Linked DNA regions of Diceros bicornis minor. The protein of the gene in region 1 interacts with the protein of each later gene in a biochemical or structural test. Links are inferred from orthologs where the notes say so. Each region holds a gene or a part of one and is shown on either strand. Other genes may lie near its edges.

What was found. The genes of interacting proteins can lie anywhere in the genome.
Region 2: the proteins of NOXO1 (region 1) and cytochrome b-245 light chain form a complex in vitro, tested with the Homo sapiens proteins (3 studies listed by IntAct). The link is inferred for Diceros bicornis minor from reciprocal best matches to the Homo sapiens genes NOXO1 and CYBA.

What each region holds. Positions count from the first base shown.
Region 1 is NC_080765.1:46,422,597-46,430,225, forward strand, and holds the start of NOXO1 (NADPH oxidase organizer 1), read left to right. Parts: upstream 1-4,625; 5' UTR 4,626-4,687; intron 4,688-5,935; 5' UTR 5,936-6,013; intron 6,014-6,186; 5' UTR 6,187-7,483; coding exon 7,484-7,549; intron 7,550-7,629. Other genes in the region: GFER (FAD-linked sulfhydryl oxidase ALR), read right to left, coding at 2,002-2,164, 3,053-3,249, 3,602-3,859. UniProt on the Homo sapiens protein: Constitutively potentiates the superoxide-generating activity of NOX1 and NOX3 and is required for the biogenesis of otoconia/otolith, which are crystalline structures of the inner ear involved in the perception of gravity.
Region 2 is NC_080771.1:37,109,531-37,116,419, reverse strand, and holds the start of cytochrome b-245 light chain, read left to right. Parts: upstream 1-3,879; 5' UTR 3,880-3,951; coding exon 3,952-4,009; intron 4,010-6,889. Other genes in the region: MVD (diphosphomevalonate decarboxylase), read left to right, coding at 138-253, 1,207-1,315, 1,959-2,039. UniProt on the Homo sapiens protein: Subunit of NADPH oxidase complexes that is required for the NADPH oxidase activity that generates, in various cell types, superoxide from molecular oxygen utilizing NADPH as an electron donor.

The DNA.
Region 1 (7,629 bases):
CCCACTTCCCCTCCAGCTGTCCCAAGTCACTGCTCCCCTTAGTCCAGGGGCAGTTCAGACACTGCCCTCCCCACCTTTCTGGAAATGCTTCTGATGTCACCCTCTCCTCGAGTTCCTCCTACTTCATGGGCCCTTTCTTGTCACCCTGTTCTGATTCCTTCCTCTTGTTCCACCTGTGACCTTGAAGCTGTAGTGGCCCCAGGGCGTGGTCTAGGGGCTCTTCTCCTCCCTCTATGCTCACTCCCTTGGTCTACGTGCTGACAGCTCGAGCCAGAACATTCCCTTGAACTAGAGCCCCACTTGTCTTAGCGTGGATGCCCTGGCAAAGTCTGTGGCAAAGTTAAGAGTTTTATTGGGGGTGAAACTTCGGGGAAGCCCGAGTTGGGGGAAAAGGGAAATGAGGCGGGGCAGGAGGGAGGACAAATACGGGCAGTATGTTCCTGAGCGAACCACAGGGAAGGCCAGGGAGAAGCCCTGTGCTGGGGACAGTCCATCTGGGAGAGGAAGGAGTGACTTCTGTGCTGACTGCTCCCCACCTATTTGTGTCACCCAGCCCCTCTGGGAAGCCCCTGCAGAAGCCAGCACCCCTGTGGGGCCAGTTGGGTGAAGGAGCTGAGGAGGCCAGGCCAAAGGCTGGCCTGTGCCTAGGGAGAGGCGGAGGCGCCGTGGGGATATAGGTGACCAGAGCTTTATGACCACAGGGACGGGGCACACTTGCTGGGCCACTCCAGCTGGGAGCCAAGGCCTGGGAGCAGGTGTGGCTGAGTGGATCCGGGCAGGCCCCAAAGCAGGGTCTAGGTCACCCCCAAACCTGCTCCACTTACAGCCTTCTCCATCTCCCTGCTACACAGAACAGCTCCACCCTTCCAGCTTCTCAGGCTGGAACCCTGAAGTGACCTTTGGCTCCTTTCTCTTGGTTCTACATTCAGAGTCTATCCACTGTCTTCTCCATCCGACAGGGCGAGCTTCCCTCTTAGCTGCCGCAGGGGTGCCTGCCTCATCCCAGCTCAGCAGCCAGAGAGAACTTTCAAGTCACATCTCACCTTTCCTTGGCTCCAAGTCCTCCAAGACCTTCTTGTGACTGAAGCTGGATGTTAAAACCACATCCTTGCTGGGGCCTTGAAGACCTCGTGCCATCTGACCTCCCTCACCTCTCTGACCCTCCCTCGGCTCCAGCAACTTGGCCTCCTTGCTGTTCCTGGAATATCCTGGTCCACTCTTGCCGTGGGACCTCTCTTTCCTCCTAAGGAGCCAGAACCCAGACAGGAGGAAGCAGCTGACCACAGAGGACGAGGGCAGACCCTGTCCATCGCTGCAAGTCCCAGCACAAAACACACTGAAGCCAGGTCCTCAGTCACTTCTCCAGCACTTTATTTTGGTCTCAAGCTTCAAGGAAGCTGGCCCCATGAAGCCTCTGACAGGCCTGGTGCAGCTAGCGAAGGCAACGTGCTAGATGGGAGGCAGGCAACAGGGTCGGTGGACCCTCGGAGAAGAGCCCTGCCTGTGCTTTCCCTGTAGACTGAGCAGCGTAGAGAGCTCTCCCCCAGCCCTCTTTCCTGAAGTGCAGAGCTCGCACAGTCTCTGGGGCTACAGTCACTGCAGCTGTCCCCAGCTACATGGGAGGGGAGACAATGGCCAGGCCTGGCAGGGCAGCCCAGCCAGACCTGTCGCCGTCCTGTGGGAAAGTGGGCGCCAGGGTGTGGAGTGAGCAGGAGGCCACATCCTGAATGGAAGGGACAGTCTGGGCTGCTCCTGCCTCCTTCACCTGCAGCCCCACTGGGCCTCAGCTGAGGCGGCGGCCATCAGGGTACCTGCGCAGACACTTCCACTCCTACTGCAAATGTGGGAGGGAAAGGGCCCTGTGGGCAGTGTCTGGGGACCACCTAACTGAGACACGACAGGCTCTGGCTCTGACACACTTTAATGAGTGCCTTTCCCCTCTCCAGCCGGGCTGCCCACAGGCCCTGGCTGGCTGCCCCATGGACTCCTGCTGGCTGCCGTCTAGTCGCAGGAGCCGTCCTTCCAGCCATCACGCCAGCGCTCATCTACTTGCGAGCAGTCGAAGTCTGGCTTGCCTAGCTTGCGGTTCACCTCGTTGTGCAGGCGGCACAGCCACTGGGTGAAGCATGCGCGCGTGCGTGTATCTGGCTGGTTCCTGTGTATCCTGCATGGGGGGAGCAATGGAGGATGGGGGAGGCAGCGGGCCCCCTGCCCCTGCCCCACTAGCTCCTTGCCTGCTCCACCCAGGGAGGCGAGCAGGAGCGCTGCAGTGAGCTACACCCAGAAGTGCCCTTGTGCTGAGGGACAGGAATTCCCCAAACAGGGCGGACCCTGTGACACCCACCTGGGGAGCTTGGCAACCCTGACAAGAGCCCAGGGCAAGTCATTAAGGCACAGACCAGGCAACTTTACAACCTCAGAACCATTAGGAAGCCTCACCCCAGTGTCCTTTGCCCTGGGCAGTGTATGGAAGGGGTAGAGCCAGCACAAAGGCATAACTGAAAACCACACCTGTTTCTTAGCACCTGGGGCTCTGGAACCTCAGCTCAGTAAGAGACCTCATTCTAATTGCTCAGGCTTCAAAAGGCAAGGGCAGCCCTGCCCCACACATCCAGCCCAGAAACACCTAAGGGTGCCAAACAGCGGCTCTTAGGCTCCCCAGCGAGAAAAAGGTGGCTCTTGGAAGCAAAAGCTGTGGATTCTCAAGGTCTTGAAACCAGCAGTCCTGCTCCAGAAGTCAGGCAAAGTGAAGTCATCCTTAACCTGCAGGAGCCTCCATCAGTGCTAAGCAAGGGGTCTCATGGGGGAAGCCCTCCCCGGGAGCCCTGTGGCTGCAAAAGCACCCGGCAGTAGACCCAGGCTGCTTGGCCTCTACAGGGAAAGGAGATGGCTCAGATGATCCAATCCCCACTCTGTTGGTGGTCCCCGCTGTCCGAAGCCCTCTGCCACCTCTGCACCTATTTCTCTAGGTTCCCCTTTATGACATCAGCCAGGGGACCCAGGCTCCAGGTGGCATGCTCTCCTGCCTGCAAATGATGCAGACGTAACTTACCTCTTCCTTATGTCTTCTGCACACTCCTCACACGGGTAAAATTTAGAAAATAAATGTATGAACTGGGCCATGTCTTGCTGCTGTTCTGGGGTGGGCAGGTCCGGGTAGTAGGCGGCCAGGGTGTGAAGGACAGCCCAGCTATGGCGACCCAGTTCCTCACGATCCTGAGGACAATCTTCTCTAAACTTGCTGTCCTGCTGCGGAAGGAGACCGACCAAAGGTCAGTTCAGTCTCCCCCGACCAGAAGCCCACAAAGCTCCTCTTTTTCCCACCCTAGCCGGAAACCTATTGACTCGAGACAGAAATCCTGCAGCCGATCTGGCCCACGTGTGGCTGAAAGCTGAAAGGCCAGGCCCACCTTGGGGTTAGGACTTAGTGACAGGCAACCCTGGTAAGCATAAGTCTGCAGGCATGGGGCCTGTGGGACCGCTCGGCCTGGGCCTTGGGAGGTCTGCCCAGGGCGCCTGAGAACAAGGTGTGGGGGCCGGGGCTAGGGGTCGGCAGAGCTCGCGGGCCTCTGCGGGAGGTGGCACCCCCGGGCATCTGAACCTTCTGCTGCGTCCGCATCCAGGTCTTGAAGTCTACGCAAGCCCGGCAGGGCCGCCTCTGGGAGGTGTCCTCGGCGACCTGAGAATCGGTCGGCGCCTGGGCTGGCGTCGGGGCTGAGGCGGCGGCATCTCTCCGCCCCGCGCCCCGGCCGCGCGCGTCCGTCACTAGGTCGTCCATCACCTCGGAGCGCGCGCCGCCAGGCAAGAAAGAGAAGAGGTTCCCGCCGTAGAAGCGCCTCCCCTCCCCGGGCGCCGCCATGTTGCCCGCGCAATGCCTGCCGGGCCAGCTCGGTCTCCAGAAGGGCCTCCAAGTCGGCCTCCAGGCCAGCGCGCGCGCCGCCGCCAGGGCGCGGCCACAGGAGCTGGGCGCAGGCGCGGGGGCTTGGGCCGAGTTGGGCGCGGGGGCGGGGCCCGGAGCCGGAGCCGGAGCCGGGGCGGGGGCCGGCGTGGAGGCGGGGCCGGGAGCTGCGGCCCGCGCCCGAGAGGAGGCGGAGCTGGAGGCCGGGGTTCGGGCCAAGGACGCACCGCAAGCCCGGGCCAGGGTGGAGGCGGGGCCGGTGGCCCGGGCCGGGGCGGAGGCGGGGCCAGAGGCCCGGCTCTTGGCCGCGCCCCTGGGCCTCGTTCCGCGGCCCGAGCCCGGCTTGCGTCGTCCGTGGCGGCGCTCCCGCTTTCTCCAGTAGAAGATCAGCGTGTGGTGGAAGCCGCGCCGCGGCTGCGCCGAGGACTCGGACGGCGGCCCAGGCGCCGTCCGTGTTGCAGCCCGCGACGGCCCCATCACTCCGCTCTGACCCGTCCGCGTGCCCGCAGCCAGGCTTTGTGCCCTCAGCTGGGGGCGCGCCCAGCGGCAGGCCGCGCGGTGCCATGGCAACGCGGGCAGGGCCCTGAGCGCACAGAGGACCGCGCTCTAGGACCCGGGTCCCACGGATCTGCCCTGGCGACCGGCGCCATGGCAACGAGCGCCTGGCAACGCTGGGAGGGGCGGTGCCGGCTGAGAACTCTGCGCGTGTCTCGGCTGCCGGGGGCACCGAGCGGCCCCGGATCATTAACCTGCATAAAGGGGTTACACCCACGTCGGGAGTGTCCTCAGGTATACCTTTGCTTCCATATGTACATTCATTCATTCCGCAAATATTTGTGTAATGCCTAATCTGTTCCAAGCACTGTTACAGGCGCTGGGCAGGGCGGGGCACAAGATCTGTCCCTGACCTGCTCAGTTCATAGTGTGGGGGATTAGAGTTGGCCACCCCAAAATGTGTCTCTTTGGCGTGAGGGTTATTTTGGGCTGATGAGCATTATTACTTTAAAAAACTGCAGACATGGGAGAAACTCTGAAAAGTAGAATTTACCCTTTGTAGGAGACATTTACATTTGTAAGGGAAATCTCCATCTGTAAAGGTATCTCCCTCTTTGTATCAGGAAGAAGAGGGGATGACCTTATCTCTAGCAACTCATTCATGCAGAAGGCAAGGACTTAAATCTGCATAATAACCTTACTCTTGTTTACTGTGCTTTTCTGGTAATCTCCCATAACTGACCCCCACCCCCCCAGCCCGGCCCCCAACTGTCTAAAAGAAATTTAAGATAGAAGGCCTGTCCCCAGGACAGGCCATCACCATAGATAACTCTAGATATCAGTAGACTGGGAGGGTCCTTGCTAAATCCATTCTTATCAAAGTTCTGTTTACCAAACATTTGCTTTTCCAGTTCCATGTGAATTGTTTTCCTCCCCTTTGAAGTCCCAAACCACTGCCCCCAACATCTTCCTTTGTCTTTAGCTGAAGATGGTATTTAAGATGAGAGCCTCCACCATTTTGTGGAGTTACCCAGTTTTTCCTGGGTCTCTACCATGTATACGTGTTATAAAGCTTTGTTTAATTTTCTCCTGTTATTCTGTCTCATGTCAATTTAATTCATACTCCAGCCAGAAGCACCCAGAGGGTAGAGGAAATCTCTTCTCTACAATAGTCCAGTCAAGACAGAAAAAACAAAAACAAAAATAGGAGTCACCATAGTAAATGTTCACTTACATACTGTGATGAGGGCCATGAATAGGGCATGGTGAATTGGGGAGGCTTCCCTGAGAATGAGGAATCAACTGAGGAGGGCAGTCAAGGCTGAAGCTGGAGGTGGGAGGGCCTTGGCCTCTTGCATGGGCAGAAAGGCCAGTGGGGCAGGACCTGAGGAGGGTGGTGGGAGGGGAGGTCCAGAGGTGGCCAGAGGCCCACCAAGGACCTCATAGGCTACCATGGGAGCTAGGAATTTATTCTAAGGACAGTAGGAAGATGCTGGACAGTTTTGGGCAGGGCTACACCAACCTGCAAAATCTCTTTTGCAGATTCCTCTGGAGAGTGGATTTCATGGGACCAAGTGAGGAGCGCAGGCATTGGGGGAGGGGGCTGTTGTAGTTGTTCAGGTGAGAGATGAGGGTAGGGAATATGGAGAGGGTAAGAGTGGGAAGGACCAAGGATTGCTGAGGGTGTGGAGCAGGGTCTGCCCATTGAGGGAGGGAGGGGACCTCAGAGTCCTTCTAGGTCCCTGGCTGTGAGCAAACTGGCTCTTCCCCACCTTCTCTCCTCTGTCTTCCAGGGGAGCAGAGTCTGTTCCACCCTGGATCCTGCCAGGCCAGCAGAGCCCTCAGGCCCTCAGCGTGGCTCCTCTGAAGTTCAGGAGAGTGTGACAGCCAGGCAAGAGGCACTCTGCGAATCAGGCCTGTGTCAGCAGGTGTTCATTGCCTAGGCCAAGACCAGGGAAGGTTTACAGGTTCAGAGAGAGTCACTGGTCAGACAGACAAACAAAGGCCCTCTGTCAAGGCCAGAGTGGTTTCCTGGAGGGATGCCCTAGAGTCTGACCCCTCCCTGGAGGACTTGGAGTAGGGGGAATCCCAACACAAAGCTGGTGGCCCCAACAGCAGGAAGAACCACTGTGCGCCAGGGTTGGCTGGGGCTCTGGAAATCACCCCTATAAGGAAGCAGTCCAGAGAGGTGAGGCACCTGGGCATGCCCTCTTTGGGGATTCCAGGATATTCCCCTCACCACCCCAGTTAGTGAGGGAATGGTCACTCCTGATCTCAGAGGCAGTGTTTGCAGGTAATTGTGATAAATCATGAATTAGAGGCAGCTCTCAACAGTCCTAGTCACCACCTCCCCCAACCCCCAAGTGTGGGTGACTGCAGAGATGGACCCTCTTCCTCCTGCCTTGTCTGCACCACAGGGGAACCTCTGAGGTGAGCCTGTGAGGTCCGACCCTCCCCAACACAGACAGAAAAACTGACATTAATTATCCATTTAACACAAATTTCCTCCTCTCTGACTTGAGGACACTAAGAGACCTTTCCTCCAACGTGAGGATTAAGCCAAATAAGGCACTTAAAGCCCTTAGCACTGGGCCATTGTTTCCTGATGACAACTGCAGTCAGCTCCCCAGGTGGGTTCAAAGACAGAGCCAGCGGAGGCATCCCCTGCCCACAGGCTCTCAGCAGCCCCAGCACTGCATGGGGCGTGGACAGGCGGGAGGGGTGGGCCAGGCCTGGGGGCCCTTTGATGGCTCTTCCTTCTCCTCCTCCTCCTTGGCGGACGGGAAAGAGGGCCTCAGGCAGCAGTCCTGGCACCTCCACCACCTCTTCCCTCCCCCTCTCACCAGCTCTGCCTTGGGCACCCCCCGCGCCCTGTGCTCCTGCCCCTCCACCCAGATCTTTGGCTTTGGGCACAGCGAGGAAGCTGCGAAGAACCGAGGAGCAGGGCAGCACTGCAAGGACCTGGCAGGTCTAGGGCGTTGCTGGGGAATTCCAACCAGTCTTCCGGGTGCGGGGGATCCCCCTCCTCTGAGAGGGTAGGGAGGCAGCGGGCTCAAGAAGCTGGCGACCGGGACTCAAGAGGCCACAGCGATGGCAGGCCCCCGGCACCCCGTGTCCGTGCGCGCTGCGGCCTTGGTGCAGACAGAGCGGTTCCAGGTACAACCCGACGGGGTCCCCGCCGGCTCCAATGGGGAGGGAGAGAGTTCTCGGCCCAGCCCCTTGGAGACGCCCGCAAC
Region 2 (6,889 bases), on another chromosome or scaffold:
CCTGGCCCCGCCGGCGCTTGGGAGCTGGTCTGGGCCCCAGCCCTGCAGTGGGAGGCCGGGGTCTCCGAGGCAGATGAGAGGGGCTGAGCCGGGCACAGCCACCATGCAGACTGTCACGGTGACCACCTGGCTTCCAGGTGGCGTACACATTCGATGCGGGCCCCAACGCCGTGATCTTCACCCTGGACAACACCGTGGCCGAGTTTGTGGCTGCAGTAAGGCACAGCTTCCCCCCCAAGTCCAACGGAGACAAGTGAGTCCTGTGGGTCCCCCCATTTGGGAGGCCGTGGAGGGAGGAGCGGGGTCTTCTGCTGAGATTGGGGTGCTGAACAGGGAATCCCACAACAGGCGTTGATCCCCCGGGGACCACAGGCAGCGTGTCACCAAGTGTGCCTAGCTGTGATTGTGGATGCATCTCCATCATGTCCCAGCCCCGTGATCACATGCACACTCCCCAGTGCAGCATCACAACTCCTGTGTGGACGCGCCTGTGGCCCCGCTGTGACAATGGCATTTGGGTTCCCTCCACCCCGCTGTTCTCACGTTCTCTGTTCTCAGCTGGGGACACCTCCCTGCTGGGCCTGCTGGAAGTGTGTGGGCTCGTCTTGTCTGTCACCATCACTGAGGCAGCACTGACATCTGGGGGGCGGGGGCTGGAATTCTAGCCTCCCCCCTGTGGGACAGTCCCAGAGGCCAAGGGGCCTCTGATCTCACTGCCCTGTCCCCCGAGGGGTGGTTTGCAGATCCTCGCTGTCCTGAGGGACACGGGGACAGACCCACGCCTACACTGAAGCATTTCCCTAAGCAGAGCTGCCCCGCTGGGCATAGCAGTAGCCATGGGCTAGGAATGAAAGGACACCGAAACCCTGCAGAGGTTTTCTGAAACTGTCCCCTCACGTGACCCCAGCCAGGCCCTCGGTCATCCCTGCTTAGGTTTTTTTGTGGTAAAATACACATAACATACAATTACCATCTTGACCGCTTTGAAGCGTACAGACCAGTGGTGTTAAGTACAGTCAGTGTCATGCAACCAGCACTTCCCTCTAGTTCCAGAACTTTTCATCACCCCAAAAGAAACCCCATGCCCATTGGCAGTCACAACCCACCCCCAGCGCCCAGCAGCCACTTCTGTGCTTCCTGTGTGGACCTGCCTGTTCTGAGACCCCCCTGTCGATGGATCCCCGTACGACCTGCCTTCCTTTTCAGGTTTCTGAAAGGGCTGCCCGTGAGGCCTGCCCCGCTCTCAGACGAGCTTAAAGCTGCACTGGGCATGGACCCCACCCCGGGAGGCGTCAAATACATCATAGCCACTCAGGTGAGGCCTGGTACCTGGCCCTCGGCCCAGCACAGTGGGCAGGGGCGTCCACCCGGCGAAAGGCTCCCTTCACGCCCTGCCTCGGCAGGAAGCCGGCTTGCTAACAGCAGAGGAGCAGCAGTGACGGCCCCGTCAGTCCTCAGAGCATGTGGCCCATTGCGGTTTGTTTCATCCAGTCTCTCGCTCACCTTCAAAGTGGACATTGAAGGACACCCTGCGAGGGGCGGTGCTGAGGGTGGACAGCAGGACTGGGATGGTGGAGACTTGGGATAGGCAGGTGCTGGGGATCCTGGGGACCCTTGGGCCTCCCCCCCCACCCCCCCAGAGCGGTTCAGGATTCCTGCTCAGAGTGCTGAGCCAGGATTTCACTCGGATCCGCCCTATTCCAGGTTCCATGACCTTTGCACCCAGGCTGTGGTCTCACCTCCGCCCTGGGACTCACTGTCCACCCTGAGTCTGGGTGACGGGGGCCGACTGACCGGGCACTCGCAGTGGGGAGACCACGTGGCTCTGCGCGAAGGAGCTGGGACAAGGCCTGGGACAAGGCAGATGTTAGCTTCTGACCTCACTTACCTAGCAGGTGGGGGGTACATTCTGTCCCTCCCTGTCCCCCTGACCTGACATTGATTCCTGTACACCCCAGGTAGGGCCTGGGCCTCAAATCCTGGACGACCCTCACGCTCACCTCCTGGGTCCCGATGGCCTGCCGAAGCCAGCTGTTTGACTGCCTCCTCGACGGGAGCCCCGGCTGCTGCTTGGGAAGGGGACGCTTCGCTGGGACTGGGGAACCGGGTGTGGCAGCCGACCAGGCTGTGCTTGTTGGGACTTGTGGGTGGCCGCCTGGCTCCGAGCCGGGCAATGTGCTGTGGTTGAGTTGGGGCAGTGGACTGGCCACCTGCAGTTGTCCAGGTGGTGAGGAGCAGCCCTGCCCCCTGTGCCTCACCCTTCCCAGCCTTCACCCAGCCCTTTGCCAAGATGAGAGCTGGGAGGGGAGCTGGGAGCAGCTCAACACCTGAGGACCAAGCCAGCTGGGAGTGGAGCTGCCAGGGGAGCATCCTGGGGAAGGGGTCTCTGGCCCCGCGCTCTGGGCTGCTCCCACTGCCCCGGAACAGCAGCTCGATCATTGGCGATGACGGGGAGTCAGGCGTCCGTCCTCGGAGCCGGAGGACAGGTCACTGTGCAGGGAGCAGCCTCCACAGGCCTCCAGAAACCTCCACCAAGTGGTTCCAGCATGATGGCCGCCAGGGCTTCTCTGCCAGGCTGGGGGCCAGACCTTGAGCTTGGGCCACAAGGTGTGGATGGAACGTTTCTCTATAAGAAGGCCTGTAGTGTGCCTCGGGCGGGAGGTGGGAGAGCAGCACCAAGGTTCCAGCATCCTCTGGGAGCCCCTGTGGCCGGCCACTGGGAATAAAGCCAGCGTGGGTGACTTCCTGCTGGTGCTTCTGCTTGGTTCCTGCGCAGTGTTCCGGGGTCCCTGCTCTGAGGGCCTGTGCCGGGCAGTGGGCAGCACTCACCCAGAGGACCAGGGAGGGCCTGGGCAGCGCCTCCCCTCCTGCTGTCTTCTGCCCCTTGAGCTCCCCTTCAGTTACCCAGCCGTTCGCCCCGCCCACTTCCTAAAGATCTGCGCGGGCGGGCGGTGGAGGAGGAGCTAGGCACCTGCCCTCCCACCCGCCTCTCCCTACTCCCCTGAGGGTCGGATGCCCCAGGGCGGGTGAGGCTGCTGCCTGGAGCGGGTTCTGGTCTGTGACCCTGAATGAGGCAGGCGGAGGAGGGACATGCACTCCTGCATTGAGGATTTCCCCAGAAGCTTCTCACGTGCTGTCCCCTCCCTGTTAGTCCTGTGAGCAGAGGGCTGCCTGTAGTCTGCCAGAGGAGAAAGTGGGGACTGGACCTGCCACCGTCCTTAGTCGCTGATCTCCAGAGAGGGAGGGGCTGCCCAGGCTCAAGGGGCTCCTGTCTGAGGCCCTGCTCCTTGATGGGGAGACCACAGTGGACATGGTGAAGGCTCTGGACCTTTGTAAACCCTTTTGGGAACCCGACCTGCTCACACCTTTTCTGGGTGAAGCCCCATAGACACCTGCGGGACCCTTGGTCTGGAAGCTCCAGAGAGAGCTCAGCGTTGTGGGGGTGACTCTGCCTCCTGAGACAGGCTGCTCCCCTTGTGGCACAGCCCACCAGGAACCACCCTTGTCACAAGCCCCCGGAGATGCTTAGGAAGCCCCGATTAACGGCAGAGGGCAGAGCTGGCAGGGTAGGCGCCTGGCACAAAGTGAGCATCAAATGGTGGCCTCCCTGCGGGGCGCCCGAGGAGGTGCTGGAAGGAGGAAGTGAGCGGGCGGCCTGGGCCTCGGAGGCTGGACCCGGCACGCAGAGCCCGCCGAGGAAGCCGGCCCAGTGGGGCTGGGCCTCATCCTGAGCTCCCGGGCCGGGCTCTCGGGGAGCAAGTCTCCTGCGTCAGCACCCCGAGACGTCGGATCCCACCGGCCCAGCCAGTCTGTCTCCTGGGGGCTGGGGGCGGGGCGAACGGCCGGGGGCGGGGCGGGGCCGGAACTCGGGCCGGGACGCGGCGGAGGGGCGGAGGGGCGAGAGGCCAGGCGGGAGCGCGGCCGCGGAGTCCGAGCTGAGCCGCCGCCGCCATGGGGCAGATCGAGTGGGCCATGTGGGCCAACGAGCAGGCACTGGCGTCCGGCCTGAGTGAGTGCACCCGGGATCCCGCGCTTGGGGCGGGGGCTGAGCCTGGGCACCCGGGGGCCCGAGACCCCGGGCTGCGGCCCCGGCAGTGCAGGCTGGAGTCGTGGGCATCGGGAGTCAGCGGGTTGCGGGCTGGGAAGTGGGAGTCCAGGAGACTCCAGACTGCAGGCCGAGGAAAGGGGCGGGCTCGAGATGGGGTGCGGGGAGCTAGGCTCCTGAGAGGTCAGAGACCCCGGGCTGCGGGCGAGAAAGTGGGAGCTGAAGCCTGGGGTGGGGGCTTGAGATTCCAGCCAGGGACCTGCAGCTGTGGGGCGGGCCCGGGGCGGGGCGGGCTGGAGCCTGGCGGGGCAGTCAGAGACCTCAGACTGCAGAGGGGGTTCAGAGACCCTCCAGCCCCTGCAGACCCGTGCAGCACCCCACCCCACTCCCATTCCCCCCGTCCCATCCCCTGGCCCTTAGATGTCCCCTCTTCACTCCCCCACCCCCGCGCAGAAGTGGAAGAGGAAGTTTCAGCCCGGTGGTTTCCGGGGAGTCACCACCCCTCAGAGTTGGGAAAACCCCATGGGACAACCTGCCCCACGGCCCCTCCTGCACTGGAGTAGGGGCTTCAGCCAGGAGGTTGCCAGGGGCTCCACCTCCGGGGTCCTAGGTTGCACAGTGGGCTCCTCCTGCGCTCTGGCGAGGGACTCAGCTCCTGGGGTGGTGACCACTCTCCCTCTGGGGCCCAGCCCAAGTCTGCACGGAAGGACATCTAGGATTTCACAAGGCTCTTGGAAACCACCCAGAAGGAGCCCCTCCCAGCTCAATTCCAGGAGACTGCTTCTGGGGAAGGATGGCAGGGCCCCTCCACCCTGGCCGCCTTGTGTTCAGGAGCTCTGGTTAGGGAGCAGTGGGGTCTGCTCCCCAATTTGCAATTGGAAGCAGGAACCACTCAAGAGGGGGCAGGTTCTGAGGCAAGAGGAAGCTGCTCAGAGGCTCTGCCCCCCTTACCTCTGGGGACCTGCCCCTCGCAGGAAGGACCTATGCCCAGTGGGAGTGGCTGGGAAGAGTGTGAGAATGTGATGAGGAAGAGGGTCCCAGCCACCACCGTTTACCTGGGACCCACCTCAAGGCCCCCTTGCCACCTGGGCATGGATGAGCGGAGGTGAAGCTCTGGGAGGGAAAGGAGCAGAGGGAGATGAAGGCTCCCCAGCACGCCCACTGTCAGATCACATTTTGGGATGGGCAGCTTTGGAGCACGGGGCCCAGTGGTCTGTTCTGTGTGTCCAGGCAGGTCACCCCTGTTTCTGCTTCTAGAGTGGCTGAGAAATCAGTGGGTCAGGTAGTTCCCATTGCTTCTCCCCAGAGCTGTCCCAGGCTGTCCCTCTGCTTGTTGAGGGCTGTGAGGTCTTAGACTGCTGCAGACCAGCCTCCCTTCCTCCCACAGCTCCCCACCCCCCAGGAAGTAGAGAGCAACGGAGGGCAGCTCCCTGAGAGCTGGGCGGCCTGCGTTCTATCGCCCGCGGGCGCAGATAGTGACTGTCCCGTGGCCCCATCCATTGCACGCCCCACATGTGCAGGCTTTCTCTGCCCTGCCTTAGCTAATGTCTGAGCTCCTGTCCACTTTACAGACAGTGAGGTCAAGACCTAGGGAAGTTACCAGCTATGGCTTAGTTTCCTCCACCATCAGATGGGGCGATGTGTCGGGCGGTCTCCTGGATCCTTCCTGCTCTGAATTCCTCCTTGTGCTGACTTCTCTTCCTGACTCAGGATCAACTGCAGCCACCTGGCCTGCTCAGGACTGGCCAGGCCCTCCCAACAGTCTCCTCGAACAGGCTTCTTTTTTATGGTAGAAAATCCCATCTAATCAGATCATGTCACCTCCTGCCAAAAACCCTCCAGCTGCTTCCCATTGCGAAGAATAAAAGCCCAATTCTGACCGCTCTGCCCCTGCTCCCTCTCAGTGCCCTCCCTTCCCCTCCTGTGTGTCCTTGGGTCTCCCTAGCACACTGCAGGGCCTCTGCAGGAATGGCCTCTGGAGCGTCCGTGGCTGGCTCCTCCATTTCTTGGGTCAGATGAAGACTTGGCTCGGAGAAATTGTTCCAGAGCACCCAGCCTGTGGTAGCCCCAGACATTTCTGTCACATCCCTTGTTCCAGGTCACCACTACCTGATATTTATTTCTGTCCCCGCATGAGACTGTAAGCCCCGTGAGAGCTGAGGCGTGTCTGTCTTGTCCCTGCAGCATCCCAGCACTCCCAGGGACCCCTGCACGCAGTAGGTAGCGTCCTCATGCCTCCCTGGTGAGCCAGTGGTGTCTCAGCCCCCTCTTGCTCACGGGAGGCAGCGAGCCTGAAGCTCAGGACGGGGAGGTTACACCCCGGGACGAGTGGACCGTGTGCTGCCTGAACACATGAGGAGGCCGCCCTCATCTCTTGCAGCTCACAGAAGTGCTGACCAGCAAACCCAGAGTTAACACGCTGCTGAGCTCAACCCCAAGAATGGGAAACCTGCTGGCAGCAGACGCAGACTGCGGGTCAAGGTGCTGCGCTGGGGCGGAAGGAAGGGGCCTGGGGAAGTGGACCCCCGGGCTCAGGCTTTCCTGTGTGGGAAAGGGCTGTGTGAGCTGCGTGCTGAAGCCAGAGCCAGGAGGGGCTGCCTGTGTAAGAAAGAGCTAGAAAGCCACCCCTCCAAGGAAGCTTGCTATCTGCTGCCGGGGCCTGGAAGAAGAAGGTCACAAACAAGACAAAACCCGAGAAACTGCTGTGCACGGGGTGAGGCTGACTGTTCTCTACCCTGGGACCAAGAAATCCAAATCCACTGGGTTCAGGACTGGAGAAGCCCATAGGCCCCCAGCAGAGGCAAAGGTGAAGTCGTCTATTGGGGCATTTCCTCAACCAGGGCA